Schizosaccharomyces pombe: one gene and its partners. The gene in region 4 interacts genetically with the main gene of each other region. Each region holds a gene or a part of one and is shown on either strand. Other genes may lie near its edges. The genes, in order: les1, vps4, suc22 and lem2.

The links.
Region 1: mutations in lem2 (region 4) and les1 impair growth when combined (synthetic growth defect), as found in Schizosaccharomyces pombe (one study listed by BioGRID).
Region 2: of lem2 (region 4) and vps4, changing one suppresses a phenotype caused by changing the other (phenotypic suppression), as found in Schizosaccharomyces pombe (one study listed by BioGRID).
Region 3: of lem2 (region 4) and suc22, extra expression of one rescues a mutant of the other (dosage rescue), as found in Schizosaccharomyces pombe (one study listed by BioGRID).

What each region holds. Positions count from the first base shown.
Region 1 is NC_003424.3:1,033,928-1,041,407, forward strand, and holds les1 (nuclear bridge Ish domain protein Les1), read right to left. Parts: upstream 4,283-7,480; 5' UTR 4,256-4,282; coding exon 4,189-4,255; intron 4,135-4,188; coding exon 2,906-4,134; 3' UTR 2,712-2,905; downstream 1-2,711. Other genes in the region: coronin Crn1, read left to right, coding at 1-240; haspin-like kinase Hrk1, read left to right, coding at 369-1,835; SPOM_SPAC23C4.04C (uncharacterized protein), read left to right, coding at 2,106-2,416, 2,470-2,581; efm6 (methyltransferase), read right to left, coding at 4,739-5,722; karyogamy protein Tht2, read left to right, coding at 6,314-6,919. UniProt on the Schizosaccharomyces pombe protein: Inner nuclear envelope protein involved in nuclear fission, which is achieved via local disassembly of nuclear pores within the narrow bridge that links segregating daughter nuclei.
Region 2 is NC_003424.3:814,053-821,727, forward strand, and holds vps4 (AAA family ATPase Vps4), read left to right. Parts: upstream 1-3,950; 5' UTR 3,951-4,064; coding exon 4,065-4,088; intron 4,089-4,154; coding exon 4,155-4,266; intron 4,267-4,309; exon of another isoform or gene 4,310-4,376; coding exon 4,377-4,863; exon of another isoform or gene 4,864-4,922; coding exon 4,923-5,598; 3' UTR 5,599-5,687; downstream 5,688-7,675. Other genes in the region: rbm17 (G-patch type RNA-binding protein), read left to right, coding at 399-1,304; alx1 (BRO1 domain-containing protein), read right to left, coding at 1,463-3,568; protein phosphatase PP2C catalytic subunit Ptc3, read right to left, coding at 6,111-6,953, 6,993-7,066, 7,325-7,652. UniProt on the Schizosaccharomyces pombe protein: Involved in the transport of biosynthetic membrane proteins from the prevacuolar/endosomal compartment to the vacuole. Involved in multivesicular body (MVB) protein sorting.
Region 3 is NC_003423.3:3,717,412-3,725,148, reverse strand, and holds suc22 (ribonucleotide reductase small subunit Suc22), read right to left. Parts: upstream 3,527-7,737; 5' UTR 3,395-3,526; coding exon 2,219-3,394; 3' UTR 2,077-2,218; downstream 1-2,076. Other genes in the region: trm1 (mitochondrial tRNA (guanine-N2-)-methyltransferase Trm1.1), read right to left, coding at 120-1,766; MCM complex subunit Mcm7, read left to right, coding at 5,229-7,511. UniProt on the Schizosaccharomyces pombe protein: Provides the precursors necessary for DNA synthesis. Catalyzes the biosynthesis of deoxyribonucleotides from the corresponding ribonucleotides.
Region 4 is NC_003424.3:2,230,188-2,238,557, reverse strand, and holds lem2 (LEM domain nuclear inner membrane protein Heh1/Lem2), read right to left. Parts: upstream 4,281-8,370; 5' UTR 3,961-4,280; coding exon 1,894-3,960; 3' UTR 1,785-1,893; downstream 1-1,784. Other genes in the region: RNA polymerase I general transcription inititation factor subunit Rrn3, read left to right, coding at 1-1,562; protein Edc1, read left to right, coding at 4,471-5,409; rRNA (pseudouridine) methyltransferase Mra1, read left to right, coding at 7,146-8,225. UniProt on the Schizosaccharomyces pombe protein: Nucleus inner membrane protein involved in meiosis. Plays a role in regulating nuclear envelope (NE) morphology and nuclear integrity, particularly during spindle pole body (SPB) extrusion or insertion through the NE, and perhaps during karyokinesis.

The DNA of each region.
Region 1 (7,480 bases), 1.2 Mb from region 4:
GACGAAGCACCCAAAGCTGCTCCTCTTGCCGAAAGTAAGAAAGTTGAAGAGAAAGAACCCTTTTATGTTTCAAAAGATAAGAAAGATATTTCAGCAGTCAATCTGGCCGATCTCAATAAACGTTTCGAAGGTTTTGAGAAACGATATGAGGAAGAACTCGCAATCCGAGACTGGAAAATTGCCCAATTGGAGGATAAGCTGGCTAAATTAACAGAAGCAATTAAAGAAAAATGTAATTAAGTTTTTTTGTGCATTTTTTATTTTGTCCAGAATGCTTTTTTAAACATATCACTAAGCCCGGACATCATGCCTTCTCCATCTCACCTCCGTACCTTACTACCTCAATATTTACAAATGTAGGAAAAGATATGGAAAGTCGTTCAAAAGTTAAAACTTATGGAAAGAACCGTAGATATATTAATAAAGATATTGAAATTTGGGCTTCTTTAGATGAACGGCCTTGTGCTTTGAAACCTCGGAACATTGAAAATTTTAATAACCAAGAAAGAAGTGACCTTGAGCATATTCACTCTAAACCGAAAAAAGATTCATTATTATCTTGGAACATTCTCTTAAAAAAAGGTTCATACAAAGAAAATGAGTTATTGGCGAAACGAAATCAAAACCTGGTACCTACTGTCATAATACCGGCTTCTCCTCGGGATAATGCATCAAAGTCGGTAGTCAGTAAAAAAGAGGTTGTAAATTTGTCATCTTCTGTTGCTTTATCCGGAAAACCCGCAAATAATTCCAAATTAGATCCACTTCATCGGCTCCTCCAAATAGTAGCGCAAGAAGACGCTCTTCCATTCAGTCAATTTGTTAAGTCTCAGACTTTTGAGATCCAAAAAATTGGCGAAGCAAGTTATAGTGAAGTATACCAAGCCAGCAATGCTGATGACGTTCCCGTTGTTTGGAAAGTTATCCCGTTTGGAGAAGACGGACAAGCTCAATATGCTGATGTCCTAAATGAAGTACAGATTAGCCAATGGATAAAAGTCGACGGTTTTGCAAACCTTCATCAAGTAGTTGTCGTTAAAGGTACTTATCCTTCACTTTTATTAGAAGAATGGGATCGGTATCTTATGCAAAATGGTTCTGAGAACGATCGACCAGATAGCTATTCATCAACGCAACTTTATTGTGTTTTATGTCTTGATCATTCAGGAACAGATCTGGAACATTTTGAGCTCCGTAGTTGGCGAGAGTGCTGGTCGGTTTTTTATGAAACATTAAAAATTCTTTCTTTAGTTGAAACTCGTTATGAGTTTGAGCATAGAGATTTACATTGGGGAAACATTCTTATTCGGAAAGCTGATCGGAGTGAAGAGGAAGTTTCGTTTCTTTTAAATGAAATATCGCTTGACGACATTGAAAGTGTCGATTTTCCCGGCTCACAAGATAAGGCTGATGATTTTGACAACATACTTCAAGTTACGCTGATTGATTTTACATTAGCCCGAGCATCGTATTCTCAGGGTATAATTAGTTACAATGAATTTAACGACCCCGATCTGTTTAACGGTGTAGATGACTACCAATTTGATATATATAGGTTAATGTCTAGAGTGACAAAAGGAAGATGGGCGCAGTTTTTTCCCATTACAAACGTTTTATGGCTGCATTATTTAATTCATCAACTTTTACACAAAAAGAACTTGTCATCGCCGTTAACAGAGACTGAGACGCTTATGAGAAGTCGTCTTAAGCAAATATTTAGGCTTATTGACCCTGTTAAAACAATGCAGTTCCAGCAGGCCGAAGACTCGATTCGCTCTAAATCTACAGTTACATCTGCAACTTCTCTCCTCAATTGGGTCCGTCAAAAATACTAATTATGGTTTTTGCATACTAAAAAATTGAACGGCGTTCGCATTTTTTTAATATTCCTTTCTTTTTCATGGTATGCGTTGCTAAAATCTTATACATATGTACTTATATTTTAAATTTTGGACGTCGAAGTGAACTTTTTTGGTTATTTTTTTTCTTAAAGTTGACCATTTTATGTGGGGTTTTTGTTGTACATAAAAAATTACATATCTTTGACTAGCAAAACTTATAAGTAAATAAGAATTATTAACTGTTTAAATCACAAATGAGTGTACATGTTTTGTTATTTCCTCAGTAAATCCTATGATGATTGTAGTCGCTATTATATAATTTCCAATATGGCTTTCTATTTCCCAGTTTATGATTCGGACTCTCCGACTACAGTGCACCATGATGAGCGGAAGGAGTCGTGGCGGTCCCATGGGTTTATTGTTTGCTTGCACATTAGGTGTTGCATCTGCTGTAAGTATAATTCAAAAATTAAAAAACCAAGCTTGAATATAGCGCTGAGAATTCAATCCCTCAAAATAATAAAAATACTAATCTTTCAGTTTTATTCTACAAAACCACTTTGGGATAAAAATAGGTAAATTGAATCAAACATTTATAAAAATGGCTAACTATAGTGGGGAATGATAGCCCAGAATATAAGCAATTGCGTTCGGAAATTGAAGCTACAAAACGTGATGAAGAGGTAAAGAACGGCGAACTTATCGACCCCAATGTAACAACAGAAGACGAAAAACTTTGATCAGGGTTTATATTAAAACATTTTTTGTCTCATCATATTCGATTTTGTTTCATGAGAAATCTTCAACCTCATTAATATTCTGCAAAAAAAACTTACATACTAAGTAACTTTGTAGAGATTATTATAACTGTTCCGTAAAACTACCCATTTTATTATTTTTAATAAACTAGTACTAAATGAGAAAAAAGCAAATCTGAGTTAAGTATCTGTTATAATAAATGGCAACAAAAAAAAATAAACTAGAAATATACAGTTAATGAACAAGGCATGGCTCCAACTTCGAGTGGTCAATTTTCAATGGTACATTACCGACACAAATGGTATTTACTGCGAAAGTACAAAAGCCCTTTTAAGCGAGTTACCCAGGAATGTTTGCCAATAATGTATTCTGTTCAAAAAGGCAGGACCTCGTAAATAGTAATACAGGTGGGGAAGTAATCGTTCAAAAGCTTTGGTAGATGAAAATGGAACGGGGACAAGTTCGCCAAATGACTCCAATTCCTCTTTGAGTTCTTCTTCGGTCCAGGTAGACTGTTTGGAGACAGAAGGATGTGAGTATAAAGAATCGTTTAGCGATGCCATGTCAGAAGAGCTCCATTCAGAAGCAACATCCATATAAAATAATTTAGCAGCATGAATAAGTTCATGACGCGAGTTGTAAGCAACATGGGAAAATATGGAACCACGTTTATTGTACTTCCAAATCCAATCTAATAAGTCCTCAGACGACCATCCATCTAGTACGTTGGAGGCAATCATTACACGCGGTGTGAAGCGGTTAGCGTATGCTTCTTTCAAAAGAGTTTCCCGAGGTGAAAGAACAGAAATAGGAATGTTTCGCTCTCGCAAAAAATCAATAAGTCTACCGTCTGACCATAAGTGAATAATTTCTTTCATATATGGTGCAGGCTGGCTATCTGTAATATTTGTCACTTTGTCTTGCGATTTTCTTTCCTCAATATCGTAATAACGTCTAGCCAAGACGATTAGGTCGTCATGTGATGCACCAATTGGTACTGTAATGTTTTTCTGATCCAACATAGAAAGGAGTAGATTATTTGACCAGGATTCCAACTCATCATTGGTGGAAATGGCATCGCCCATTGATGCTTGGAAAACTGTTTCCAACAACTGCTCTCGGGTTCCAGGCTCTGGAACTTCGTACTTATTCTTAATAAGCCATCGAGAAAGCTCGGAGTTGGTCCATGAATTGAAAATCCAAACGTCCAATTTTTGTGCGTTATGAGAAGCATGATTCTTCTCCTTCTCATAGAAAGATTTACATTTGTCGGTTACCTTTGATACATACTGTAATGGCTTCCTCCAAAACTGTGAAGGAGTCTCGATAGGAGGAACGTCCAGTGACTTTACCCCATGATTTTGGAGAAAGTCATCAAGCTTTCGTTGAGGCCAAGAATCGGCTGGTCCTCCTATTTTCCCCTTTTCTCTACCGGCGTAAACGGTTCGCTGAACATACTTCGTAGTTGTACTAGGCGCATCATGTATATCAGCTGCAGTCGCTTCAATAGACGATATGTGGCCTGTAATCTTGCCTAGACAATGCCGGGTCAGCCGCTGTTTCTGTAGAAAAGCAACTCAACACTTACCAATTGACAGACAAAGCTGTATTCCTAATGCCAAAAGCGCTCCGTGTAGAAGAAACCTTGGCTGCATTGTATTTTTCTATGTGTTTGGGTGAATGGATGGTGCGTGATGCTTGATGGGTATTACACTTGGTATGCGCTGCTATATGACGTAAGCCGAGCCAGTTTCAAGGCATACAGAGAACAGGGTAAATAAAGCAGAATAAATAAAGGAAACTGCTTTATATAATGTTGAGTTGTTTTTTTATCAAAGAATATGCTAAATCATTAAATTCGCGCCAGTCGTCATAACACCATTCAAAAAAGCTGGAAGCCGAAATTCAATTTTACAGAAAATGTACTTTGCAGAGTTTACATGGGTTCCCAAGTTCGCTGATAGTTTAGATGCAAAATTGGTTTTATGCGATGCTACAAATTTTATAGACCGTTGTGTATAAGAACCCGAAAAGACATCTCAATATAAACATGCTGCTACAAAAAAGTTACGAGATTCGCAAGTTGACAGATTCAGCAACGCATCCTAAGAGAAAAATGAAAATGATGCAAAGTAAATTTATTTTTTCTGTAAAATGTAAATAGTGATTGGACCACGTTCTTCGTAAACAAGATCCAACCATCCCAATATATTGCTCATAAAAGTTTTTTCATTGTCATGTCTTTTTTTGTACGCAATATATAACTTTGTGTTCTTATCCATCAATTCCTGAAGACTTGCCTCCAAATCAGAAAAGCTAGATTCATTGTACATGACATCTGACATAACAATATAATCCCAATGACGCCGAAATTTTCGAGGAATGTCATGTCCCCATACTAAAATATCAGAAGTTATGTTGTTGCTCATTGCAGACTTATTCTTTTCAACATTTTTTTCCATAAATTCAATCGCATCTTCTGTATCGGTCATTGACACAAGAGCACGTGGATATTTGCTAGCAATACTTATACCAACAATTCCACATCCGGAGCCTAGTTCTAAAACATTGATGTCTTTTCTATTGGAAAAGCTATAATGCCAATCATCAGAAAGAATCTTTTTTGAGAAAACTACGCCGGCATCCCACAAGTGCTTAGCAATACTGTTACCCATCTGTTCGAGAAACCAGAGACCATCGTTTGGTGACTTTTTTTCTGGGCCTTGGATATACCGCCATACCATATTAGGTAAAGTAGATTTCGGTGAAAAAGCTTCACTCCAAACTGGTAATACAGTATCGGCATTTATGTGTATAGAATCAACGATTGAATTCTGATTTTCTAAATGCAGCGTCAATTGAATTTGCTGGTGACTAGCAGGAAAATACAAAGTCGTTTCAGCCGCGTGACCATTCCCTATCCATGAAACACATTGCTTAGAAATTGTGATACGACTGTGAGATTGTTGTCTATCCAATGCTTCAACCCTTACGGTTGCATCTTGCGGATATGAAACTTCGCCCAGATCAGAAGTTATCGTAAAAACCACTCGTAAAGCGTATTTAAAGGATTCTTCGAGCTTTTCTTGGAGTCTTAAAATTCTAATATAATAGAAAGTCATTCAAGCGTCCAAATACTTTAAAAATCCTTGGAAAAATAAAGAAAAGGGGGTCTTACAGAAATTTTTTTAATGATCTATTAACGTTCAGTTTCCCTTTAAACCACATTCACCAATCAATGAAATAAACCACTAGCAATGAAATACAAGTTGGTTGAAAAATTTTTTTTTTCGCAATTTGAAAAACTAAAATTCTCTGAAATATCAGATTATCGCCGCAATATGAGAGAGGGTAAACTGATCGTAAAAGCAAAACAATTGAACTAAGTTGTTAATTCATGCAACCCGGTAGCAATCATCATGAAAATAATCTCTGAATTGTTGTAAGAAAAACGCATGGTAGCAAACTTAAGTCGCAAGCAGAGCAACGAGTCATAACTGATAATACGAATATTCACATAAGGAAATGAACTTTATAAACACTCAATTACAAATTTGAGGGCATAAGCAATTGCACTAACACTTTTTTACATGTTGGTTTATTATGTGTTTTGCTGACTTTCCTTTTGTTTGTTACTTTTTTGTTGTTACCAGCGCACCTAAACGAGAAAACGTGTATTGATCCCTTCACATTTTAACCTCACAATACAGAAAATGGAGAATCAGGTGTCCAGTTTTCTAATTGATTCTCCAATGGAATGGAAGACTTATATGAAAAGCTTGAGTGATGATAATCCCAGCTTTGGGGACGTAACAGTTAATTTGACGAAAATTAGCGTATCTTCAAAAAATGCAAAAAGCTACGCAGAAGAAATGTATAATTATGTAACTCAAGAGATGGTATTTATCAGTGAACGTAGTAGACTATTATTGCGCGCAAAAAGAAGGTTGTACAAAAATCAATCACTTATGAAAAAAACGTCTGTGTCAACCTCGAACACAGTAAAGATGGTATTTATGTCACTAGCAAAGCAAATTGAACAAATGCTCAAATTCTGTATGATGGTTTACAGCAAATTGTGCGAGGCGTTTGAAACAACGTTAAAGGTAGCGAAGGAGTTTCAAATTTGCGATTCTTCTCAAGAATGGTTTTTCCAATTCCAATTGGGTTATCATAGAAAACAGATGGAATTACAGATGCTTTCTTTTGTAGCCGAATGGCTTGTTTTAACTCAACATTATACAGATGCTCTGAATGACTCGGCAAAAACACTTTACGACATAATGGAAAGTAGCCATAAAGCGGCACAAAAAGTTTAAAAGCATATTCAAATGTCAAACAAAATTTTCTTCTTTTAAAGGTGCTATTCAATTCATGATTCCAACAGTTGCTGTGCAAATTAAACTATTATCATGAAACAAACCACGGTAAAGTTGGTTGTACTATTGTGTGACTCCTTTTTCAAACTCATCAAAGTACGATTTTCAATTAAATTTTAAACTTTCAATTGAAAGGGTTGCCTCAAAATTGACAAGCCCTTGGTCAACTTTCACTAACTGGTGCTGTTGATTTTCTTCCTATTTAGCAATCACGTTATATATACCGTGTATTTCATTTTGAGACTGAGAGTAGACTTCCCCAATATATTTTAGTAAAACTATCCTTCGAAGGTTTTGTTCATCAATGAATTAATGCTTTACTCATCAAAATATATTATGAAACAATCCTACTTGCGAAGTTCATTCTGTATTACGTATTTCCGTATCTCTTTTAATAAACTGGTTCGCATCGCCTTAATTATTCTAAATTTGATTGTTACCTGAAATGTAGAAGCCAATCTACAGCGCACAAGGACATGTATGTCCTTCGCTAAGCAGTAA
Region 2 (7,675 bases), 1.4 Mb from region 4:
TACAGGGAGTCAGGCTAACTCTTGATTATGAAAAATGTTGAAGAATAGCCAACACTGGAATTAGAAGGAATAGTTAAACGGTTCAAAGATAAGTTCAAGTTTAAAAGTGTTGCAATGTAAGCGCTTTGATGGTGTATAGTAATTAGTTTCAGTAACCTCACCACCACTTAGGTAATTTGTTAAACTGTCCACAACTCCACAATTAATCAATGCATATATAAGGTAATTTAAATTTTTGAAGAATAGCCTGCTTCCTTAGTCTATCGATGTCAATATCTAATTTAACTACTCCTTAAAAAGTGCCTTGGAATTAAAGCAGCTGGAACACTGTAACCTACTTTCATAGCCTAGCTTGAAATTCTGTTATTGCTAAACATTGTATTTGAGTCACAAACAAAATGGGCTTTATGCTTTATGAAGGAATTGACTCAAAATCAATTGAAGAAATAACCGAAGAAAGTGAGAAAACTAAAACTGACTTACAAAAAGCTAACACACCTAATAAAACCGAAGCCGTTCATTCGTTAAACAACACATGTTCAGAACAAAACAGTGGTACAAAAGATTACCTTAATAGCTTACAGTTTCTGCCATCAAATTTCCGACCGAAAACCCACAAAAAGAAAAAAAGTGTTTCGAGTTATCTATCTTCTACAATCCAGAAGAATGCAAACGAAAACATTCCTCATGTGCAATGTCGAAATGATTCACAATCTACTGTTACTACCAGAAATCCAACTCCCTTTAAAATTGAAGTGGGGATTTATCCAAGTAAGCCGAATAATTTAAATAAAGAACCTCCTGCATCAACTGTTCATTCAGATAATCTTGGGGATGCAGTTGAACACGAATGGGTGGAGCTATATGACCCTTTATTCCCAACCAGCTATTCAGTTTTTAAAGAATCTGATTATGCAAATTTGTGTGAAACAAATTGGAGTCATTATGTTAATCAAGTTCCCTCATTGTCAATTGAGGCAAAACTTTCCAACATTGTAAATGCCTCAAAATCCGGAATTGGACCTCCTCCTAGCCTATTAAGTCATGCAACTTTAGCACGGCCGTCTGAGTCAATGGTTTTATCAAACAATATTGCTGCGGAAGATCTAGATTTTTTTAAGAAATCACCCCCAGTTCCTGCTATATCTAAAAAGGAAAATGTAGCGTTAAAAATGCTTCAACGGTGTGGATGGAAAGAAGGTCAAGGTCTTGGTCAGCACAATCAAGGCATTATTAATCCACTCCATGTAGAAATCTCGGGTTTCGTTACAGAAACTAAGCACTCTAAAATTAATGATAAATGAGGAGAATCTTAATGTTAATTTTTTTATCAACGTGTAATTGTATATTTTATTAGTTAAATTAACGGGGCTTAATGAAAATGAAATTTCTTAATCAACTTTTAAAGATAAAATTTGAACATGTATGCGGATTTAATACTATATGATCACATATGATAATCCTATTTTTTTGACGATTTAAACTTGATTTTATGGATTTCAGGATTGAAAGCATTGGAGGAAGAATGCTGCAATTTAATTTTGTTAAGCCGATTTTCGTTTTCATACCTGTTTTCATATTGACTATAACGTTCCTCTGCTCGACAAATAATATTGTATAGCTCACGAGCTATTTCTGTTTCATTGCGTACTGTTTGTAATAAAAATTTATACTTTTTCTCAGTTTCTTGTGAGAATGAAAGAATTTTTGAAATTTCAGAACACTCTGCCTGTACTTTGAAAGAATTTAGGTAGCTTTTCAGTTTTTCAACATTCTGGATTATAATTTCTTGCCTTTCCCTTTGTCGTCTAAAATTCCACTTGGCATCAACAGCTTCTCTAAAGCATTTTAAAAGTGAATGAATGTCGGTGTGATTTGAGTACATGGAGATGTTAAAATAATCATTACTCCCTAATTTTTTTAACATATTTCTCTCGTCTTTAAGCAAATCCCACTGTGCCAAGTAAGAGTTTGCTTGCAATAATAATTGATCTGTATTGGGATTTTTTTTCTCAGCCAAGTTTGACAAAATTCTTTCAGACTGGGCAGATAACTCAAAGATGTCCTTGCCAAAGGCACTGATATCTTTTTGAATGGTATCCTTTGCGTTTTGAGAATTTTCAACATTGACTTTTAAAAGTGATACTTCCTCATGTAACTTTATAACATCGCTGTAAAATCCTTTTTCTTTCATGTTTTGGGAAGACTTTACCGAATTTATTATTTCGTCTAACGCTTGACAACAATGTCGATATGTGCCATTAACTTTATCAATTAAACAATCAAGAGAAGATGCTTCGGACCTTAAAAACTCAAGCCCCCCTAAATTTTTTATTTCAGTAAAATTTTCCATTACTTTATTTGAAGTTTCAGTTATATACCTATTGTCATTGACGGACTTTATCTCTTCCATAAGAGCAAAAAGCTTTTCTGTACCTTCTTTAGTTAAGCAATCAATACTCTTCACAGCAGCATCCAAAATATTTTTTTCATGTTCTTCAATTAGATCCATAAACTCTTTGTCCAAACATGTCGAAAAATATGGATAAGCAGCCGTTTTATCCGTCAAAACATCTGGTGTTATCGATTGAACCATAGTAACTGTATCCAATAAAGGAAATGAGCCTACTGGTATTTCGGGTTGTAAATGAATAAAATCATTGTCCCTCTCATTTCTTTTTAATTCAAACTGTAAAGAGCTTTCAAGTTTTTCAAGTTTTTCATAAACTTTCACATTAAATCCAAAATCGAACCTGGTTTTCAAAGCTTCCTTGCAATGTAACAGAGAAAGCCTCAAGTATGAAATGTTTTCTCCATATTTGTTTAGGGAGTAACTTGTTCGCGAAATAATCTGATAAGTAATAGTCTGGTAAAAAAGTTTTTGAATGTAAGTCCAATGAACGAATATACTCGGTGCCCCAGTTGCATTTTTAAATAATTTATATGCATCTTCGTATAAGAGGAAGACTTTTGCCAGAATCTTTACAATGATAGATTCACTGGTCGTGTCATTTGAGTTAGCCTTGCTAAAAATACAAGTTTGAGCCTCAGCAAGGCAATAAATCTCCCAAGCTTTCAGTAAGTTTTCATTGAAGTCTAAAGATTTAGTGTATATATAGAAATCATTTATATATCGAAAACAGCCAGCAGAAAGCTGAAAATATTGACATGCCTGTACTAAATTAGGAGGTTTTTCATTACAAAGGGAAATTGCCGTCGTATGATAAGTGCATGCTAATCGATATATCAAGCAAGCATGCTCAAATATTAGATTTTCAAAAGATTCTCTCTCGTTTGAAGAACTAGACAATGTCCACACAAATGGTGCTACGCATTCTGATAAATGCTTTTGTTCTAAAACACACAACAACTGGTGGTAAGTTTGAAAGGAGCTCAACGAATTTATTGAAGGATGCGACAAACATAATTGACTTCGCAAAGCTTTAAAGGTCTTCAAATCATTTTCATATGTGAATGATTTGAAGCAAGACAATCTTTTCAATTCATTAAACAGAGGGTCACAACTCCAATGAAAAGTGTTTTTTGTTGGTATATTTAAAAATTCCATTGCTAATAATGTTTGAATAAGTGTCTGGTTATTTTACAAACCAAGAATCTTGTCACGAAGTGCTAGAGCAATTGCCAAACACGCGTCTTTAAAAAGGAATAACCTTAGTATAATATCGTTCACAAAGCGATTGTTGCAGGTTATCACCCAAAAGAATACTTTATTAGGACAACTGGTATATCAAATGTTGACGATAGCGAACAAAAAAAAATACCCCGTAAAAATGCAGTCAAACTTATTCCTTTAGAATTGTTAGTGATGAAATGTAATTTATCGTGCGATAGAGAAAAATATTGAGGATGGTTATTAGTAGCTAAATGTAATGTACCTCTAGGTACTTAATGCCATCATTAAGCCATTGTTGCTACTGATTGTACTACTCACACCAAAACCCATTATCCAGAGCAGACCCGTTCAGTAACTTAGCTTTTTAATTTCATTGGATTTTCTTTTAAATCTACCTTTTTCATCATTAATTTGATATTTGGCTTCTGTGATGTCCAATCCAGATTGTTTAAGTGTAAGACTGTTGCATGGAGTAACTCGTCCGAATTTGAACCTTTGTCTAACATTCTAACTACTGTAGAAAGCAATTTCATTAGTAAAAACTGCTATTGATAATGACAATGCCGAGCAATATCCTGATGCTTACAAATATTATCAAAGTGCACTAGATTATTTTATGATGGCCCTAAAATGTAAGTTACTCAATAGTTTGAATTAGGGTGAGGATATATTGTCGCAATGATTCATAAGGAAATTTATATTTGGATCTACATTTTCAAGTTATTGTTTGCTAATATTTCAGATGAAAAAAATGAAAAATCTAAAGAAATAATTCGTTCAAAAGTTATCGAATATCTAGATAGAGCGGAGAAGCTCAAGGTTTATTTACAGGAGAAAAACAATCAAATTTCTTCAAAAAGTAGAGTCTCTAATGGAAATGTAGAGGGGAGCAATTCTCCAACCGCTAATGAAGCGTTAGACTCTGATGCAAAAAAGTTAAGAAGTGCATTGACTAGTGCAATTTTAGTAGAAAAACCAAACGTTCGTTGGGATGATATAGCGGGACTAGAAAACGCAAAAGAAGCTTTGAAAGAGACAGTTTTGCTACCTATTAAGCTGCCGCAATTATTTTCACACGGTAGAAAGCCTTGGTCAGGAATATTGCTCTATGGTCCTCCTGGTACTGGTAAATCGTACCTTGCAAAAGCAGTCGCTACTGAAGCTGGTTCTACTTTCTTTTCGATTAGCTCCTCAGATTTAGTTAGTAAATGGATGGGTGAAAGCGAAAGGTTTGTTATTCTACGTTAAAACTATTTACTCTTTAATATTTACATGACTAACATTATAGGCTTGTTCGTCAACTTTTTGAAATGGCGCGTGAACAAAAACCATCTATCATTTTCATTGATGAAATCGATTCACTGTGCGGAAGCAGAAGCGAAGGTGAGAGTGAATCTTCTCGAAGGATTAAGACAGAATTTTTGGTACAAATGAATGGAGTTGGAAAGGATGAAAGTGGAGTTCTGGTTCTGGGTGCCACGAATATTCCTTGGACTCTTGATTCTGCTATTCGCCGACGTTTCGAAAAGCGTATTTACATTCCCCTGCCTAATGCTCATGCCCGCGCTCGGATGTTCGAGCTTAATGTCGGTAAAATACCTTCGGAACTGACCTCACAAGATTTCAAAGAACTTGCTAAAATGACCGATGGCTACTCGGGTTCAGATATTTCTATTGTTGTTCGTGATGCAATAATGGAGCCTGTAAGACGAATTCACACAGCTACCCATTTCAAAGAGGTATATGATAACAAGTCTAATAGGACCCTTGTAACTCCTTGTTCTCCTGGTGATCCTGATGCATTTGAATCTAGTTGGCTAGAGGTGAATCCTGAAGACATTATGGAACCAAAACTTACTGTTCGAGATTTCTACAGTGCAGTTCGTAAAGTCAAGCCTACGCTTAATGCTGGTGATATAGAAAAGCACACACAATTTACAAAGGACTTTGGAGCAGAGGGATAGTAATATGATAAAGGAGCTATTTTCGCTTAGTTTAATGATACCATTATTGTAAAGAAGTATAATATCATGACTACACTCACAAATGTTGAATCACTTTAGTAAATTATGGAACTAGTAGAATATTGAAGGGAATGTATATTGCTTCGACAATATCTATTAGGGCAATCGGAAATTAGTCTGGGTATGTTTACTCATGCCAGAGAAATATTTTCCATAATCTTAACTGATTTTGAATCAGGATTATAAAAGACAGTATTCGACAAAATTGATATAGAAATCGCATGCTATCAAAAAGTGCAAAGTAGCAACGTACCAAAAACCTTTTCATTCTCGGAGGTAATCGGTATACGTCGCAGGCACGTATTATACGAACAACAAAAGAAAAGCATGAAAAAATGTTGAAACAAAACCGCCTAGCGTGACTTTTATAATAAGTCAACAAATAATGCTAATTACGAGGAATATTCCTAAAAGCAAGTTACATTGTGTAATATGCGTGAAGTAGGGAATAATCAATCTGCTGCAGACACAGCCTCCTTATGATCATCCGCAACATCTTTGTTAGAATTTACGATATCGGTTTCACTTGAAGAATTTTCCTCCTCGGCTTTATGAGGGAAAAAGTGTTCTTTCCATCTGAACCCAGCTGCAAGGGATCCGTTGGTGGAATCATCTTCCTTAGAATTTTCATTCGCATCTTTGTCATATCCATCAGATCCATTTAACTTTACTTGATGAAAATTAGGTGGGACAATAACTTTCTTATTGTTATCGCCACTACGCCATCCTGGGCCATGATTTTCGGCATACTCAGGAGGAGCGCAGGGTCCGTCGTTAGCGGCAACTCTATCTGCAATCTTCTTATACCATGCTGATTTATCGTTTTCTTGCAATAAGGCAACTATACAAACAGTCATGTTGTCACAACCAAGGCCGGTAGTTTCGGTGTCACTGGCTATGCAGTTATCCATTAAATTTTCAGCAATCTTCTCAAGAGAGGTTCCAGCAACTATGCCACGTCTAACAAACTCGATCACTTGCTGCGAAGTCTTGCAATCCCAAATACCATCACAAGCGAGTACGACGAATTCATCATCGTCAGTAATCTCATGTACAACAACATCCGGTAAGGCAGTAACTATTTGTTTTTCTGGTTCTAAATTACTGTTTTTGAACTCAAAATCACCGATAGCTCTTGACAAAGCCAAATTTCCATTTACACGGCCAAAGTCTACAAAGCCACCAGCCGCACAAATACGGGCTTTTTCGGCTTCATTTGAAGGCTTATGGTCTGCTGATAGAGGTTTTGCAATTCCCTTACTGCCAAGGACAGTTCTTGAGTCACCGGCATTAGCCTACACAATTAGTAAGACTAAACAACTTCCAAGACTTACACAATAAAGTTTATTTCCAACACGAAGAACAACAGTGGCCGTGCAACCTGATGGATCCGTATGAAATTGATCATCTGTCAAAATAGTTAGCAAAATGCAATGTAGTGAAATGACAAATTTTTTTTCTGAAACCAAACTAAATGTAACAACTTTTCAACATCAAGAGGTAAACATTTCTATTATCTTGGTAACAATTTTTCTAAGCATTAACTAGACAAAAGAACAAAAAATCTATAAAAATTTCAAACACAAAATTCATCAATTTTTTGGCGACTTTAAAATGGTTATGATATCAATGAAAACAACTTTATCATTGTTAACAACAAACTTACCATCCAAAATAGCTTTATCAGCATTTAAAAATGAAGATTTCAAAGCATTAACAAAATCGCCTTTCTGAAAATCAGGATTCTTTTCAAGAATCTGAGGAAGATTGCTTCCACACCATTTCGCGACTTTGTCTCCACCGTGGCCGTCATAAACCGCAAAAAAGTCGACCGGGTCTTTTACTGCAGAGCACTCCATTGAAAGTATAGCAGAATGAGCATCTTCCATTGAGATACGCCATCCTTGCATGCTTGAAAGTCCATAAAGGACGAACTCATTGCTCCCGTTCACCGAGTGCTTCTCGGTGACTGGCTCTGATAATGTCTGACCCATTGACAGCTCTTGCTAATAGATGA
Region 3 (7,737 bases), on a different chromosome or scaffold from region 4:
TTTTGTACTAGCCTGTTTATAATTTGCATAAACCTTCCGAAATAACATAAAGAATGAAATTGTATGTACTATCCAAAAACCTAAAATACAAGGAGTATTTAAACTGTGCTCCACTTTACCTAAGATTTTGAGTCAACTTCAGCGATAGTTCTTTTACCAGGTTTACTTTTTGGGCCCCAATTTTCAGTTGGGTTCATTTGATATCGAGTATAACCTTCTTTTTTGGATGCAAACTCGGAATCGGGCCTGAATGTAAAATCAACCTCAGCTGTGGGAGTTTTTTCCAAAATCGCTGCTCCAGCAGATGTTTTACTAATATTTTCAAGCTTCACTGGATGATCTTTAATCCAAGAGCGCAAAACATCCCAAACGAAGGACCAGGGAGCATTTGTTTTAATTGCATTACTCTTGGCATGAGAACCAGAAACCCGATATCCAGCGTTTAACAAAGCTGAAACAAATATATTTTGAGGAGGAGATTGGGAGCGCAAGACGCTACAAATTTGGGATAAAACAAAATAAAATGGAACATCTGGTAGTTCTTCATCAGCCAAAGCGAGCATACCTAAGATTCTTCGTTTAGTGCCATAGACTTCAGGGTCTAAATCTTCTGCAATGGCGCGCATTTTTTTGAGAAATTCTGCATCATGTAGGGGTCCACCCCATAAAGGGCCTCCAACATGATGCACATATCCACAATGTTCACAGTTAGCAGATACAGGAGGCCCCGAAGCATTAGAGAATTTGGTGGTTCCAGGTAGTCTTCCCGGAGAAGTTTTTCCAAGTGGTTGCTCGGCAAAGCTACCGCAGCCTGAACAATGGTATATCAATAGCGATTGACTTTGTAAATTTTTTACGAGAACAGGCTTTGCTTTAATTTGAACAAATACGCGAAAGTAAAAATCAATACTTAGGGAAAGTAGCGGCTTGATAGCGCGACCATATTTTGCAGCAGAAGCTGCAATAGCATAAAGCAAATGACGAACAGCCTGCTCATGACAAAAATTAGAGCGCAAAGAGGACCCACCATAATTAGAAAAGCATTTCTCTGGATATGCATTACCGGCTAGAACAGCTGAATCAGTACATGTGATGCATAGAAGACCGTCCTTTGAAACGGATTGTACAGCAGCATCCAGAAACGGGGCAGCAGATCCATAAGGATCAAGGTCAATCACATCGTAATGAAATTTGTTCATATGCATAACAGCATTAGCGTCTCCTTTATTAGGAATTACTATATCGCTCACATTATTGTAATTAACATTCTTCTCGATGGTTTTCACAGCATTTTCTAATAAATCATTTGCAAGTATCCTTTTGACATTTGGCAACTCCTTAGCATACCGAATGGAACGCAATCCAGTAGCGGAAAGTGCTTCTAAAATGGTAAATCCAGCAATATTATCAGCTGAAGTAGAATCTGTCTTTTCCGAACAGTTTTTTTCAAAATCATGAGTTGTATCACATTTAGTAAGATTTTCTTGGCTAAGTTCGGAGTTTTGATCGAGAAGCTGATGCCGGTGATGAGATTTTGCAACAATTTTTTTGGATCTAGTTTCCGACCAAGCACGAATAGCTGTAACGCTTAAATCTCTATTAAATTGTTGTACGGGGTTATAAAAGACTTCATTCGGATTTGAAAATGGTATAATTGCACTACCCTCGGTCAAACTTGCAGAAGCCCCCGACATCATGGCGGTTGAGAAGTGATTCACAGCATTTGAGATCCTTTGACTTAATCTTAGCATATTGGCTTCATACATTTAATACGAATTAAAGAAAAATAATCGTTAAAAAAAAAGAAAGTATTGATTATTTTTGAGAGTAAATTTGCAGTAATTCATTAAAAAAATACGAGATGTGATAAGTCAACCATAAATCGAATTACAAAGTATTGTATAATACATGTAATCTTGTAGGTTTAGGTAATTGACAATAAGGATAATAAGTAAATGGTCTTTTAGTCTATGACTGGAAAATAACTTTTCTTAGACGTAGTAAATTAATGAAAAAGAGAAAAGAACTTGAATAGAAATACTTCAGAAATTAGAACTTCGTCATTACATTCACTGAAGTAGCCATTTAGATTTGTAAAGTATAGAGTAACGAAAATCTAATTAAACATATTAATTTATTATTGCTAAATAGGTTATCAGTAATCAATAATATTTTTTTTTTGCTTTAACTTATCTAAAAACCAAAAATAACTAGTCATCTAAAAGTCCTCATCGATTGTAAATGTATGATCATCCTTCTCAGCGCGCTTGGTACCCGACATAACGCCAGCAATTTGGTAGTCAGAAACTTTCTTTTCAAAGAAATTTGTTTTTCCTGCTAAAGAGATATTCTCCATGAAATCGAAAGGATTGGTTACGTTATAGTACTTGTCATTGCCCAAAGCAACCAACAAACGATCAGCAACAAATTCAATATACTGACACATCAAATCCTTATTCATACCAAGCAGACTAACGGGAAGAGCGTCCGTGAAGTATTCTTTCTCAATATCAACAGCTTCAACAATAATGGCTTCAACAACCTTGCGGCCTGGTCTGTGCTTCAAATGACTAAACATCAAACAGGCAAAGTCGGTGTGAAGACCCTCATCACGACAAATCAATTCATTGGAAAAAGTAAGACCAGGCATAAGTCCACGTTTCTTAAGCCAAAAAATAGAGGCAAACGATCCAGAAAAGAAGATACCTTCTACAGCAGCAAAGGCAACCAAACGAATTGCATAGGTGGAATCTTCATCATTAATCCAACGAAGAGCCCACTTGGCTTTGGCCTTAATAGAACCCATTGTTAAAATAGCATCGAAATGACGCTGTTTTTCCTTAGGTTCACGAATGTATGTATCAAGCAAAAGTGAGTAGGTCTCAGAGTGAATATTTTCAATCATAATTTGGAAACCATAAACACAACGAGCTTCAGGGATCTGAACTTCAGAGCTGAAACGCTCGAGAAGATTCTCATTAACAATACCATCTGACGCAGCGAAATAGGCGAGTACAGTGGAAATAAAGTAACGTTCATCAGCATTTAACTTGTTATCCCAATCAACCAAGTCTTTCGAAAGATCAATTTCCTCAGCAGTCCAAAAAGATGCTTCAGCCTTCTTGTAGAATTGCCAAATTTCGTGATACTTAATTGGAAACAAAACAAAGCGGTGAGGATTAGGGCGAAGCACAACTTCATCAAGCTCATCTTCCTTTTTGCCCAAGTAGTAGTCGCCTCCTTCCTGTTTCTCTTCTTCACTTACATTATCAAAGTTAAAGGTTTCTTTAATAGATTTAACATAAATTTTACGAACACCTTGTTCGCTATCATACTCGACTTCTTCACCATGTTCCTTAGGATAACTGAATTCTTCGAGATGCTCAAGGCCCATTTTGTAAGATTAATAATGAGATTTCGTCCAAACTGACCGGATTTATCTGTATATAGAATAAGTACAAAAGTTTTCTTCCACCGCGATTATCTCTTGCGATGTGGCTTCCCAAGATGTGTTGTGGTTAATGGCAAAACTTTCAAAGGTAGGTTATCCAATGTAGTGCACAGTATTGTAGTATATTCAACACCACCGTTTTTTTTGTGGATGTTAATTTGTCGCACTTTGGGTATGATAACACAATGAATAAGAGTGAAGGCAAAATAGACAAAATGCTGCCTTATTTTACAGAGTGGAAAATTGCAGTTAAACTAAGTCAAAGGCTGATGGAGATGAATAACGTTGAAAAAAAACAATGTACTAATTAATATTTGGAGACAAACGCAACGAGTAAAAAAAATGAAATAAATTCGAAGACAATCTCAAATTAAATGGGAAAAGCAAGGGCTTACTTCCTTTCCCTTCTGGTGTGTTATAATAACGGTTTCTTAAAGCAGGAAATTGTAGCTAGTTAATAGAAAAATGTGATAGCTTAAATCGAAGAATTCGATGCTAAGCGTGGAGTCGAATAAATTCAATTATTTAGGCTCAAATAATTGAAAAAATAGAAATGAATTTATTACTTTATGTAATAAATAAATTATTAAATTTCTCACTTTTTGTTATAATTTAATAAAGTAGTTTTCAGTGTAATACTTAAGACGCGTCAGGGTACCTCAATTTATGTTGTAGATGAAACGCAATGATATCAGCCTAGTAGTACGATATGATGTTAGAAATAAATATCTCTTCACAATCTCCTTTTCATCCGAGATGTAGAGCGCTTTATAACTGCTCAAATATTACAAATCACGAAACTTCTAATGCGACGCGACCGTACATAAAGACATTGCTTAATTAAAAAAAGATAAGCGCGACAGAGACCTAGCCACATACTGTGAATAATTTTAATACCTTGATCCTTTCGTAAAAAAAAAAAGAAATACTTATATTCGTCTATTGTAAACAGAAAATAAATAAGCATTCCAATAGCACGTTTCTATTGCGTGTTGTGCTTTTAGGTACAGTTTACAATGTGGTATAAAACAATAAAGAATTTTCTATATTCATTCTTCACTGATGTTTGAAATAACCGAACAAAAAATAAAAAGTTCCCTACTCGAAGTTTTTATATTGTTGATATCGCATTTCTTTTGAGAATTTCCCTGCTAACTTACTTCATAAGTTTTCAAAAAAATTTTTAAAAATAAAAGTGAAATAAATTTTAGGCAGTAGTCTAAATAACTCTCATGTTTAGAAATACAAAACGTGTAGAAGAAAAATAGGAAAAATTATGGATAGCTAAAATAACAATCGATTGAAGCAATGAAAACAATTAGACATACATTTATGAAAATAAAATGACCAATTTATTGTCTGGCAAAATGATTATTATTAATTTAAAACAAATAAACTGTTTATTTATACATAGTGAATACTCTCCAAAAAAAATTTCTAACAGTACTACATAGTGGCTTTTAAAATCAAACTGAATGTTTACTTTTGCTGCGAGAGTAATAAATTAAAAAGGAAATATGTAGAGAATCAAAAAAATTATACACTGCAATTTCTTTAGAGTCAATGACAATTTGTATATGCCCTAAGTTACAATATTTACATTTTTGTTACCTTACGAGTTCGCGTTGATTCATACTACCAACTAACTAAAACAACCTAAAGAAGAACCTTTCTTGGTATCTTACCCTTACTTAATACCCTTGCTTTCTTTTTGAACCTTTATATTTTTTGCTAATTCAGCAGAAAAGTTTTGGGATACTTTTTTGGTTTGAAAAGCATGGCACTTCCCACCATAGATTTAAAAATCCCAGAGTATGAAGAATGTCAACATAAAATTACGGATTTTCTATCCCACTTCAAGCAGGAACAGGTTCAAGATGGACAACAAAATCAGGATATTTCGATGTCGGATGCAGGTGATGAGCCTTTTTTAAAATCAAAGTATATGGATATACTACAAAAAATCTCCAATCGAGAGTCAAATGTTATTAATGTTGATTTGAATGATTTGTACGAGTTCGATCCAAGTGATACTCAGCTTTTGCATAATATTGAATCTAATGCTAAACGGTTTGTTGAACTTTTTTCGCAGTGCGCAGATGCGTTGATGCCTCCTCCTACTGTGGAAATTAATTATCGCAACGAAGTACTTGATGTAATTATGCAGCAACGTGTTCAAAGGAATGAAAATATAGACCCTGAGCATAAAGGATTTCCTCCTGAATTAACCCGAGGTTATGACTTATACTTTCGACCAGTAACTCGCAACAAAAAACCATTCAGCGTTCGTGATTTAAGAGGCGAAAACTTGGGATCTCTTTTGACTGTCCGTGGTATAGTTACTCGTACAAGTGATGTTAAGCCTAGCTTAACTGTAAATGCTTATACATGTGATCGATGTGGGTATGAAGTGTTTCAAGAAATCCGTCAGAAGACATTCCTTCCAATGTCTGAATGTCCTTCGGATGAATGTAAAAAGAATGATGCAAAAGGTCAGCTTTTCATGAGCACAAGAGCCAGTAAATTTCTTCCTTTTCAGGAAGTAAAAATACAAGAATTAACGAACCAAGTACCTATTGGCCATATCCCTAGATCATTAACCGTCCACTTATATGGTGCTATCACTCGCTCTGTAAATCCTGGCGATATCGTTGATATTTCTGGTATATTTTTGCCGACTCCGTATACTGGTTTTCGAGCAATGCGCGCCGGGCTCTTAACCGATACTTACTTAGAATGCCATTATGTTTCACAAATCATTAAAAATTACACAAATATTGAAAAAACTCCTCAATCGGAGGCTGCTATCGCTGAATTAAATCAAGGAGGCAATGTGTACGAAAAACTGGCCAAGTCCATTGCTCCCGAGATATATGGACATGAAGATGTTAAAAAAGCTTTACTTCTGTTGCTTGTCGGAGGTGTTACTAAAGAGTTAGGGGATGGAATGAGAATTCGTGGTGACATAAATATTTGTTTAACTGGTGATCCTGGTGTCGCAAAATCTCAATTATTAAAGTATATTTCGAAGGTTGCCCCGAGAGGAGTATACACCACAGGTCGTGGATCTTCAGGTGTTGGTTTAACTGCTGCTGTAATGCGTGATCCAGTGACGGATGAAATGGTTTTAGAGGGAGGTGCCTTAGTACTTGCTGACAACGGTATTTGCTGCATTGACGAATTTGATAAGATGGATGAAAGTGACCGTACAGCAATTCATGAAGTAATGGAACAGCAAACTATTTCAATTTCAAAGGCAGGAATCACTACGACTTTAAATGCTCGAACAAGTATTTTGGCCGCTGCGAACCCCTTATATGGACGATATAATCCGAAAGTGGCACCAATCCACAATATAAATCTTCCAGCTGCACTGCTTTCCCGGTTTGATATTTTATTTTTAATTTTAGATACTCCTTCTCGTGAAACAGACGAGCATTTGGCACAACACGTAACATATGTTCACATGCATAACGAACAACCTAAAATGGACTTTGAACCATTAGATCCAAACATGATTAGGCATTATATTTCTTCTGCTAGACAATATCGCCCAGTCGTACCAAAGGATGTATGCGACTATGTTACTGGTGCTTATGTTCAACTTCGACAAAACCAAAAGCGTGATGAAGCCAATGAGCGTCAATTCGCTCACACTACTCCACGTACACTTCTCGCTATTTTGCGAATGGGACAAGCATTAGCTCGTTTGCGTTTCAGTAATAGAGTGGAGATTGGCGATGTTGATGAAGCTTTGAGATTAATGTCTGTTTCAAAGTCATCACTATACGATGATTTGGATCCTAGTTCTCACGATACTACTATTACCTCGAAAATATATAAAATTATTCGAGACATGCTTAATAGCATACCAGATGTTGAAGGCAATGAACGCTCACTTACACTACGTGCTATTCGTGAACGCGTACTTGCTAAGGGTTTTACTGAAGATCATTTAATAAATACAATACAGGAATATACAGACCTTGGTGTTCTTTTAACTACAAACAATGGTCAAACAATAATGTTCCTCGATCCGGATTTACATATGGAGAATTAACAATTTACTAATAGATAACTCCTATCATTTAATTTTTCTGCCAATTAATTGCTTTAAGCTAATTTACAACCTATAGAAATTATTCTGAGACGTCAAACTACTTTTCTGTTGAATATTCTTTAATTCTGACTAATACATCTGTCGTTCTTTTAATCTATGATAGTTTATTTACTTGTATTCAAATGTTAATTCACGCAATTGAAAGGAAGATATATTAAGCCAATAT
Region 4 (8,370 bases):
TTGCTGCAAAAAGTGATACTAAAGATGCACCTTCCTCTCTGCAACTTCAAAACTTATTGTCGGCTTTGACGTGCAATGTTTCCAGATTGGATAGCTCTAATTCTTCTTTAGTTATGAGCGTACTAGATTCTGTTTGGGTGAGCAGAGATGAGTCCTTTGTGAGATGCTATACTCGATTTTTAGGAAATCTCATATCTGCACAATCTAATTACTTGCCGCTAGTTATGACTATGCTGATTCAGCATATGTTGTATCGGCCTGATAGTTTAGCAATCCATTATGAACATGCTCATATGGCTTTAAAATATGTGTTGGAACTTGTTCCCCGTGCGCATTCCTTCTTGTATAGTAGCATACTTGAGGAGTTTCCGTACAAGGACGAGAGCCTTTTAGCACAGATGACTTATATTTCGAACGTTTTAAGTATATGTGAATATGTACCATCAATTAAAGGTCCTGTATTGCATGCAATAATTGATAAAATTATCCAAATTGATGTGGAAATACAAGTAGAGGTTGATGATGATGATGAGGAGGAGGATGAAGTGGTAACAGATGATGATGGAACTAGCAATGCCGATTCTGAAGTTATTACAGCTTCAACGTTATATGAACGGCATACTGCTATTTCAAGTGAAATGACATCTAGCACAATATTGACTCCTCCCTCATTAACAGACACTCGTCAATTGATGCAGCAACTGGATCAGCTATTGTATACTTTATTTTCTTATTTAGATTCCAATTTAAAATCTACTAGTAGAGATCGTTACTTGGTTTATAATAGTTTGATTAAATCATTTGTGAACACGGTCCTTAAAACGTTCCGTTGTCGATATACTCAATTTTTGATATTTTGGGCTTCTCAGTTGGATCCCGAGTTTACTGATATTTTCCTTGGAGTGCTTACGGAAGTTTGTCTTGACCCATCACAACCTTATACTTTAAGATTAAGTGGTGCAATGTATATTGGGTCTTACGTTGCTAGAGCCAAAGCTTTAGAAAAAAATACAATTCAGATCATCGTTAATATGATGACTCGTTGGGTTGAAGCTTACTTAGATCAATGTGAAAACGAGCTGTCCGATGATTTACTATCTAAACACTCGGTTTTTTACGCAATTAATCAAAGTATTTTTTACATATTTTGCTTTCGTTGGCGTGAACTTTGTGTCTCTGATGAGTCTGAATCCATGGAGCCAAGACCTAACGAATGGATACCGGGCTTAGAGATACTTCATCGGTCCGTTCTTTCTCGGCTTAATCCATTGAGATACTGTTCCCCCAATATTGTACTTCAATTTGCAAAGGTTGCAAATCATCTCAATTTTATGTACGTCTATTCCATTATTGAGCAAAACAGAAAAGGAATTTTTAGAGAAGGGTTCGACACTATGGATGCCTATTTTCCCTTTGATCCTTACCGGCTTACGAAGTCTTCTATAATTGTTCAACCATTTTATAACGAATGGCAACAAATTCCAGGTTTGGATGATGACGAGGAAGAAGAAGACACAGACTACGAATCTTCAACCGTAATGTTGGGTGAATCTCCCTTTTGAATTCCTTTATTTTTTTTTAAATACCCTTTCTATGTGACATGTCCTATTTTTTCTCCGCTAATTTCTTACTCTAGACATGCCCATATTCAATCAAAAATGGTACTGGTTTTGGTTTTTATTTTAAAATAATTTATTTGGTATAACTAAGAATCACATTAATATAAGAAATACAGTTAAATTTCATCAACCTTGCAAACAAGTCCTCATTATACCAATTTTATGTTTCATTTTTAATATGTATAAGCATTCAGATAAATATATTATTAACTTACTTTTGTATTAGCTATGAAAAATGTCATAAATACAAAGCTAGAAATACAGTCGAGAATCATTATTCACGTAAAGGGGAAGTTGTATTAATAAATGAACGATCGGTTTGGAAATCCAAAGTATTTGTGCCGACCCACTCCCATACACGGGTCCATTCGCCGTCTACTTCTGATTCACGAGTTCTTACACTGCCAACTTGTTCAACACGTTCGACTATTGCTTCCCAAAGAGTTCGAGCAGTTGCTTTCGTCATATGAATTTGTTCCAATGGGCCATTTCCATGAAAGAGTATATCATGCATTTCGATTAGTGGTATAACGGGTTCTTGAGATCGAGACATTTGATAATTTGCTTTCTGTCTCTTCAAAGATTCTACACAGAATCGAGAAGCCGATGGTAGATACTTTGCTACGATACTGCGAGTACGAAAAAAATTGATGAGCTTAAAAATAACTCCTGACAACGCAAGGATTCCAAATAAAAAAACTTTGTTCCTCCAAACAAATTTTATCAGTTGCTGTTTTAAACGACACCGCAAAGGAATACCTGCCCAGCTATCGTAGCAAATTAATTTTGAATCCATGACAACTTCATTCGTTTCAGAAAGTACTGCCAAAGAAGCTTTAAATAAGTCCTCAAACATTTCAAGGCCAAGGGTTGGAGATTTTCTTTCAAGAAGCGTATCATGTAATAATCCTAACGCAAATGGTTTTGATGGGAAGGAGATATGATCAGATGATATATTAAGATTATCGGCGACATAAGGGTGCGCATTGTACGACATATTTCGTTCCAGCAAATCTGACGAGTTATTGCTACAATGCAAAATTGCATTCCAGGATCTTAATACACTTAAACATTCTTCACGAAAAATATTAACACTTTCTTCTCTAGAAGTATCACTAACGCAATACTTGGAGGGCCAAAATCCTAAACTTGAATACCATGGTTCGTAGAGGACATATCCGGGCTTGCATTCAACGTAATTTGGAGAGGGACATATTGCATTCGGAGGGCAAGTTCTACACAATGATGGAAAACTTATTCCAAGAATTGAAGCAGAACTTCCACTGGCACCCGAATCACAGAATCCTGCTGTAAACATTTTCTCCCGTAATAAAGCCAGAAAAATTGCTGCCACCACTCCTAATAAAATCATAAAAATATGCACTAAATAAGAAGAAGATATCGCGCTGATTCCAGGAAAGGCGCGCAAATTGTGAAGAAGACGATAATTGGCGTACTTAATGTCGTGAAATACTTTTTTAATAAACGACCAAAGTTTGCTTTCTTTTCGAGTCTGCTGCAAAACGTAATTTTGAAAAAGCTCGTCATCTTCCTCAGCAGAGTCTACTTCAGAATAAGGCGATGAAGATTCAGAGGGCCTTGCACTGTCAAGAGGAGCAAACTCGATATCTCGAGAGACTCGCTCAGGAACATTAGTAAAGGGTCGTTTATGTTGAAGAGGACTAGAAGTGGCTGAAGTTTGTAGACGATGTGATATTTTGGGAGACCTCAATTGTGGAGAAAAATTGTTTGAAGATGAAAGCAGCTTTAACCTCTCCGAAAATGCTGGCGAAGTATGTAAAGCAGAGCTATCCATAAATGACATAGGAACAGCTACCCTATGAGATTTATGCGAGCGAAATTTTGGTGTAGACGCGTGGGCTGGCGGAGTTTTCATAGTCAGCGATGTTTCCACATTAGGGCTCAATTCAGAATAGGACTGAAAGGTATTATTTTGAGAGACGTGCGGAGACTCTATTTTAACCGGGGTTTCAATGTTGCTAGGTTTGTCAATGAATTGTGGAGACAGAAGCGGTTCTGTTTCGTTGTGTGGCTTTTTCGTGCTTTTGGAAGGAGAGGAGGGATAAAGGTATTTAGGAGCTATTTCATCCTCGGAGCTAGACGCTTTTGAGGTGTTAGAGTTTTCCTCTTTTTGAAGATGAGACAATAAATGTTGTGGACCAGAGCTTAATTTGTTTTTCCGTATTCTATCCACCATCCTAATATACTCTATTTTTCTGGCATTCACAGGGAATGACACTCCCGATTCATGAAGGATCTTTTTCAAGTCTATGACACGAAGATTTCGCAATTCGAAGTTAGGGTCCTCCCAATTGTCCATGGTGAATAATTCAAACTGATCAAAAATGGTATAAAGCTGATATAAGCTAGTTAATTACATGAATCCTTATCTACATTAAAAAGGAAACCTGGCATAAGTTGCTGATTCGTGAACGTAATTGCAATCCCATACAAATTTATAATATTACAGCAATGAGCTATAATATACTTAGGAAATTGCTTGAATTCCACTGTTCAAACACACCTTTTCAAATTTAATAAAAGACTTCACTAAACGAAGGTAAAGCAATTTCTTATTTCTCTATCTTTGTGCCGAATCTTTGTTTTCCTTCTTTCTTTTTGCCAGTTAAAGTGGGTGGCAAATAATGGTTAAGGGAAGAAAGCTCTATAAGGAGGCATAGCGCAGCTCATTGCTTTGTGTCACCTCAGCCCAAATAACGTATATTGGGTAAGAGTGTTGCCCCCGAAGTTATCCTTAACCAACATCAATCACTAAGAATACAGAATCCATGATCATTAGGGATTACTCGAATTTTGACTATAGTAAAAAATGCAAAAAGACATTGGACGTAGATTTCAACGTAATAAGAAGAAAATTAATTCTAAACCGGGCGGAGCAATGGTTGCTTCCAGCGATGTCGAGTTCAGTTTAGATGGAATGTCGATTATGCCCCAACGAGATGGTAATCTCCAGATACCTAACTTTGTGAAACCCAAGAGTACTTTTGCTACTTCTAACATTGGTGAAAGCAATGGTAAGCGAAATGGCGATAAAGTACGCGGGAATCGACGCTCTAAATCTGGTCACAGTTCGTATGCTGGCTCTCGTATCTCAGGTGGCAATTCTAATTCCCACCTTCCTTCTGGTGTTGCTTCGGCTCCTGCTGGCTTAGGAATTGATAAGGTTGCCGTCGGAGAAGTTGATTCTCATTTGAAGTCTGTATCTTCTTACGTTTCCAATTCTTCCGGTGCTGATCGATCTTTTTCTTCGAATTCCTCTTCCGATACTAATTCCATTCTTTACGCCGGTCCTACATTTACTCATTCTCCGGCCGCTTCTAATCTTCCCATCCCTACGTTCTTACACTCTCCCGTTTCCGAAAAGGCTGAATGGCAACCTCCTACTGGTAGTGTGAACTCAAACATGCCTTTCCAGTTTCATCAATCTTCCTCTGTTCCTTCAACCCCATCCGAAGTTGCCATGGGTCATAATTTTTGTCCGATGTCTCGTAACGATCCCTCATTGCAGAGTATTCAACAGACGAATGGATTTTACAGTGGACACAATTCTCCTCATACTAACTATTCAGCTTCCACTCCTTCTTTTAATCACTTCAATGCTGCCGGCCATCCCACTGGTAACATTACCCCTACTTTGAATTCCCCTAATAACGGCATTCATTGTCATTCTACTTCTGCCCTAGACTTATTGTTTCATCGCGATCGTGAACAGCGCTTGTTCCGTATGCTGCGTCAAGGAAGTGCATAGTTTCATTGGATGCTTATTTATGTCTAAGGACATATCACCTTTTTAAGCCTCGTGTTCTGTTCTAACTATTCCACTTTTTTGTTTCACCTTCTTTCGTCTCCGCGTTTATCTACACGTGTTCGTTGTAGCACTATTTATTTGAACATTGGCCAAGAGAATTTATCATAGTCTAGTATTTTTGCTAGTATTATGACTTTCTTACTATCACCCTATGTACCTCTGTCTTTCTGTTTTTTTGGATTATAGAATTTAGCTCTCTATATGGGTTAATTTTGTTTCCTTCGCTTTTGGTTTTTAGAGGATTTCATACAAAAGCTACTGAATTCCTTTTCTAACGGCTTATAGTTAAAAGAAATGCCAACGTTTTTAATGGATTTCTTGGATTTGAAATCTTGATTTTTATTGACTAGATTTCCTTAACTTCATCTTATTCCTTGTTAGTTAATTGAGCGAGCAATTCATTTATAATATGGAAATGTTCGTCAATGACTATTTATCGAAAATGTGCCTCGTTTACTTTTCGATTTGTATGCTTAGAATGGGCATTTGTTACCTTTTTTATGAGCGTTGGGTGTTATGATCTGCATATTGCATTAATTTTATTCTGGCTAGTTTTTATTATGCTATTAATAATCTCGTTGTGCTTTTATCGAGATTTGTTTGAAACTTGTTTCACCGGTCTCGTACATTTTTTTCTCTTGTGTTTTTTTCTTTTAATTTTCCTAATTATTACTGACGTGTTGCCTATTGCTTTGCGATGACAGTACATCTTATTTTCCTGTGTCGAGGATTATAGTTATAATCTTCTTTTCCTCTCATGAACTTGGCTTTGGTTGCCAACCTTTTAAACTTTCGTCCATGATATACATGATGTTTGCTAATATAAGTGATATTTATGTGGTCACCTTTTTTGGCGAATGTTGTAACCTATCTTCTACGCTCAAGGAGTACATGCAATGTGCTTTATGCTTTTTTTTTTTTGAATGTTTGCAATTTTCAAGCCCTCGGTTTTTGAGCTTTCATTGCTAGTCAAGATAGTCAACTTATCGTTGATTATAATATCTTTCACTCGCAAATCGTTTTTACGTAAAGACTGAATTACGGCAACATTTATTGCTCTTATTTGTAAATAGTTTTGGAATCATTTCTTTTTAAAACTTTAAATTTATCTCTTTCCTTCATTGTTTACAAATAATGTTGCATTAAGTGGTGATTTAGTTTTTCTAATATAAACACATATTTCCGTCACTGATGTGTCGCGTTTGTGTATTTATCCACCTGATATGTGCAACAGTATTAGAAGGCACGGTTTTTCTGTGTGTTGACGATACCTGTTTACACATTCCTTTTAATCCACTTCCTTTACTTCTTTTCCGTTTTTTTTTTATTTTTATTTTTATTTTTTTTTTTTTTGCTGAAGATGGACTTATATTACCTGCATTTTTTTAGTTAATATAGAATTCATTGAAAACAAATTTTCGGCGTGTGTAGATTTTTTATAATTTTTTTGTTGATTTAGATAAGTCATTGTTTTGTTCAGCTCAATGCGCGAGTGATATGTTTGGTTTTACACTTGTTGGTTTAAGCGGATCGTAAGTTCGTAAATATGCGTTATCTTGTTTAAGCAAGGTAGGTTAGATCTGATAGTTATTTGTAGCTACCACCAAAAGCAAATTTCTCAAGCCATTATTTTTTGTCGAAACCCAATATCTGGTAGACTAGCTTTTTCATCATTCATGCCTACTTATTCCAAAAGGAAGTCTAGAGGCTCTTTAGAGGTTTCTGAGAAAACCAATCAACCCAAATTCATAAAGAGAAGTCAATCGAGTGAAACAATAACGTCAGGTGAAACTGCTAGTGAATTGATGCAAGATGAAAAGGAGCAGAGTAATGGTGCAGTAGGTTCTATTGAAGATGAAGAATTACAACGACTTCGTGAGAATCAAGCTTCTGTTGAAGCTCTTTCGAAAAAGCCAGAGTCTATCGATCGAGAGTTGGGTGTTGAGGCTTTAGAAATAGATAATGTAGTAAAGTCAGATGAAGAAAAGGAGGATCCCAATGGTGCTTCTTCCAAAACCGTCAAAGCTCGTCCACTTCCTGCAGGGTCGGTTCATCGTGTTACTACCCATATGGCGCCAATACCAGCGAGGTCAATTGGTTCTCATGATACTACAACACAGCGTTTGATTGTCGTATTGGACCAAGCATGTTTGGAAATTTATAAAGTTGGCAAGGCTAAGGATGCAAAATATCAACTTCTAAATTGCGATGATCATCAAGGTATTTTAAAAAAGTTAAACCGTAACATTGCTCAAGCGCGTCCTGATATTACTCATCAATGCTTATTGACTCTTTTGGATTCTCCACTGAATAAGGCAGGTCGTCTTCAAGTGTACATTCACACAGCTAAGAAAGTTTTGATTGAAGTGAATCCCTCTGTTCGTATTCCTAGAACTTTCAAACGTTTTTCCGGTTTGATGGTGCAGCTTCTTCACAAGCTCTCTATTCGTAGTGTGAATGGCAATGAAAAGCTTCTAAAGGTGATCAAAAATCCAGTTACAGACTACCTTCCTCCGAACTGTCGAAAGGCAACATTATCTTTTGATGCTCCTACTGTTCCTCCTCGCAAGTATCTTGAGACTTTACAGCCCAACCAATCGGTTTGTATTGCAATTGGTGCTATGGCTCATGGTCCGGACGATTTTTCGGATGGTTGGGTTGACGAAAAAATCAGTATTAGTGACTACCCTCTGAGTGCAAGTATTGCTTGCTCTAAATTTCTTCATTCTATGGAAGACTTTCTAGGAATTGTATAATTATTAAGGTAAAAATTTTTGCATTGTCTTCATTGTTATTCAGCTTATATCCTGTGCTATAGATATTCACTTTTTGATATAGCTTGAATTTTTTGGTACGTTTCGTACTTTACATTTTCTTTAGAGAGTATTAGAATAAAATAAC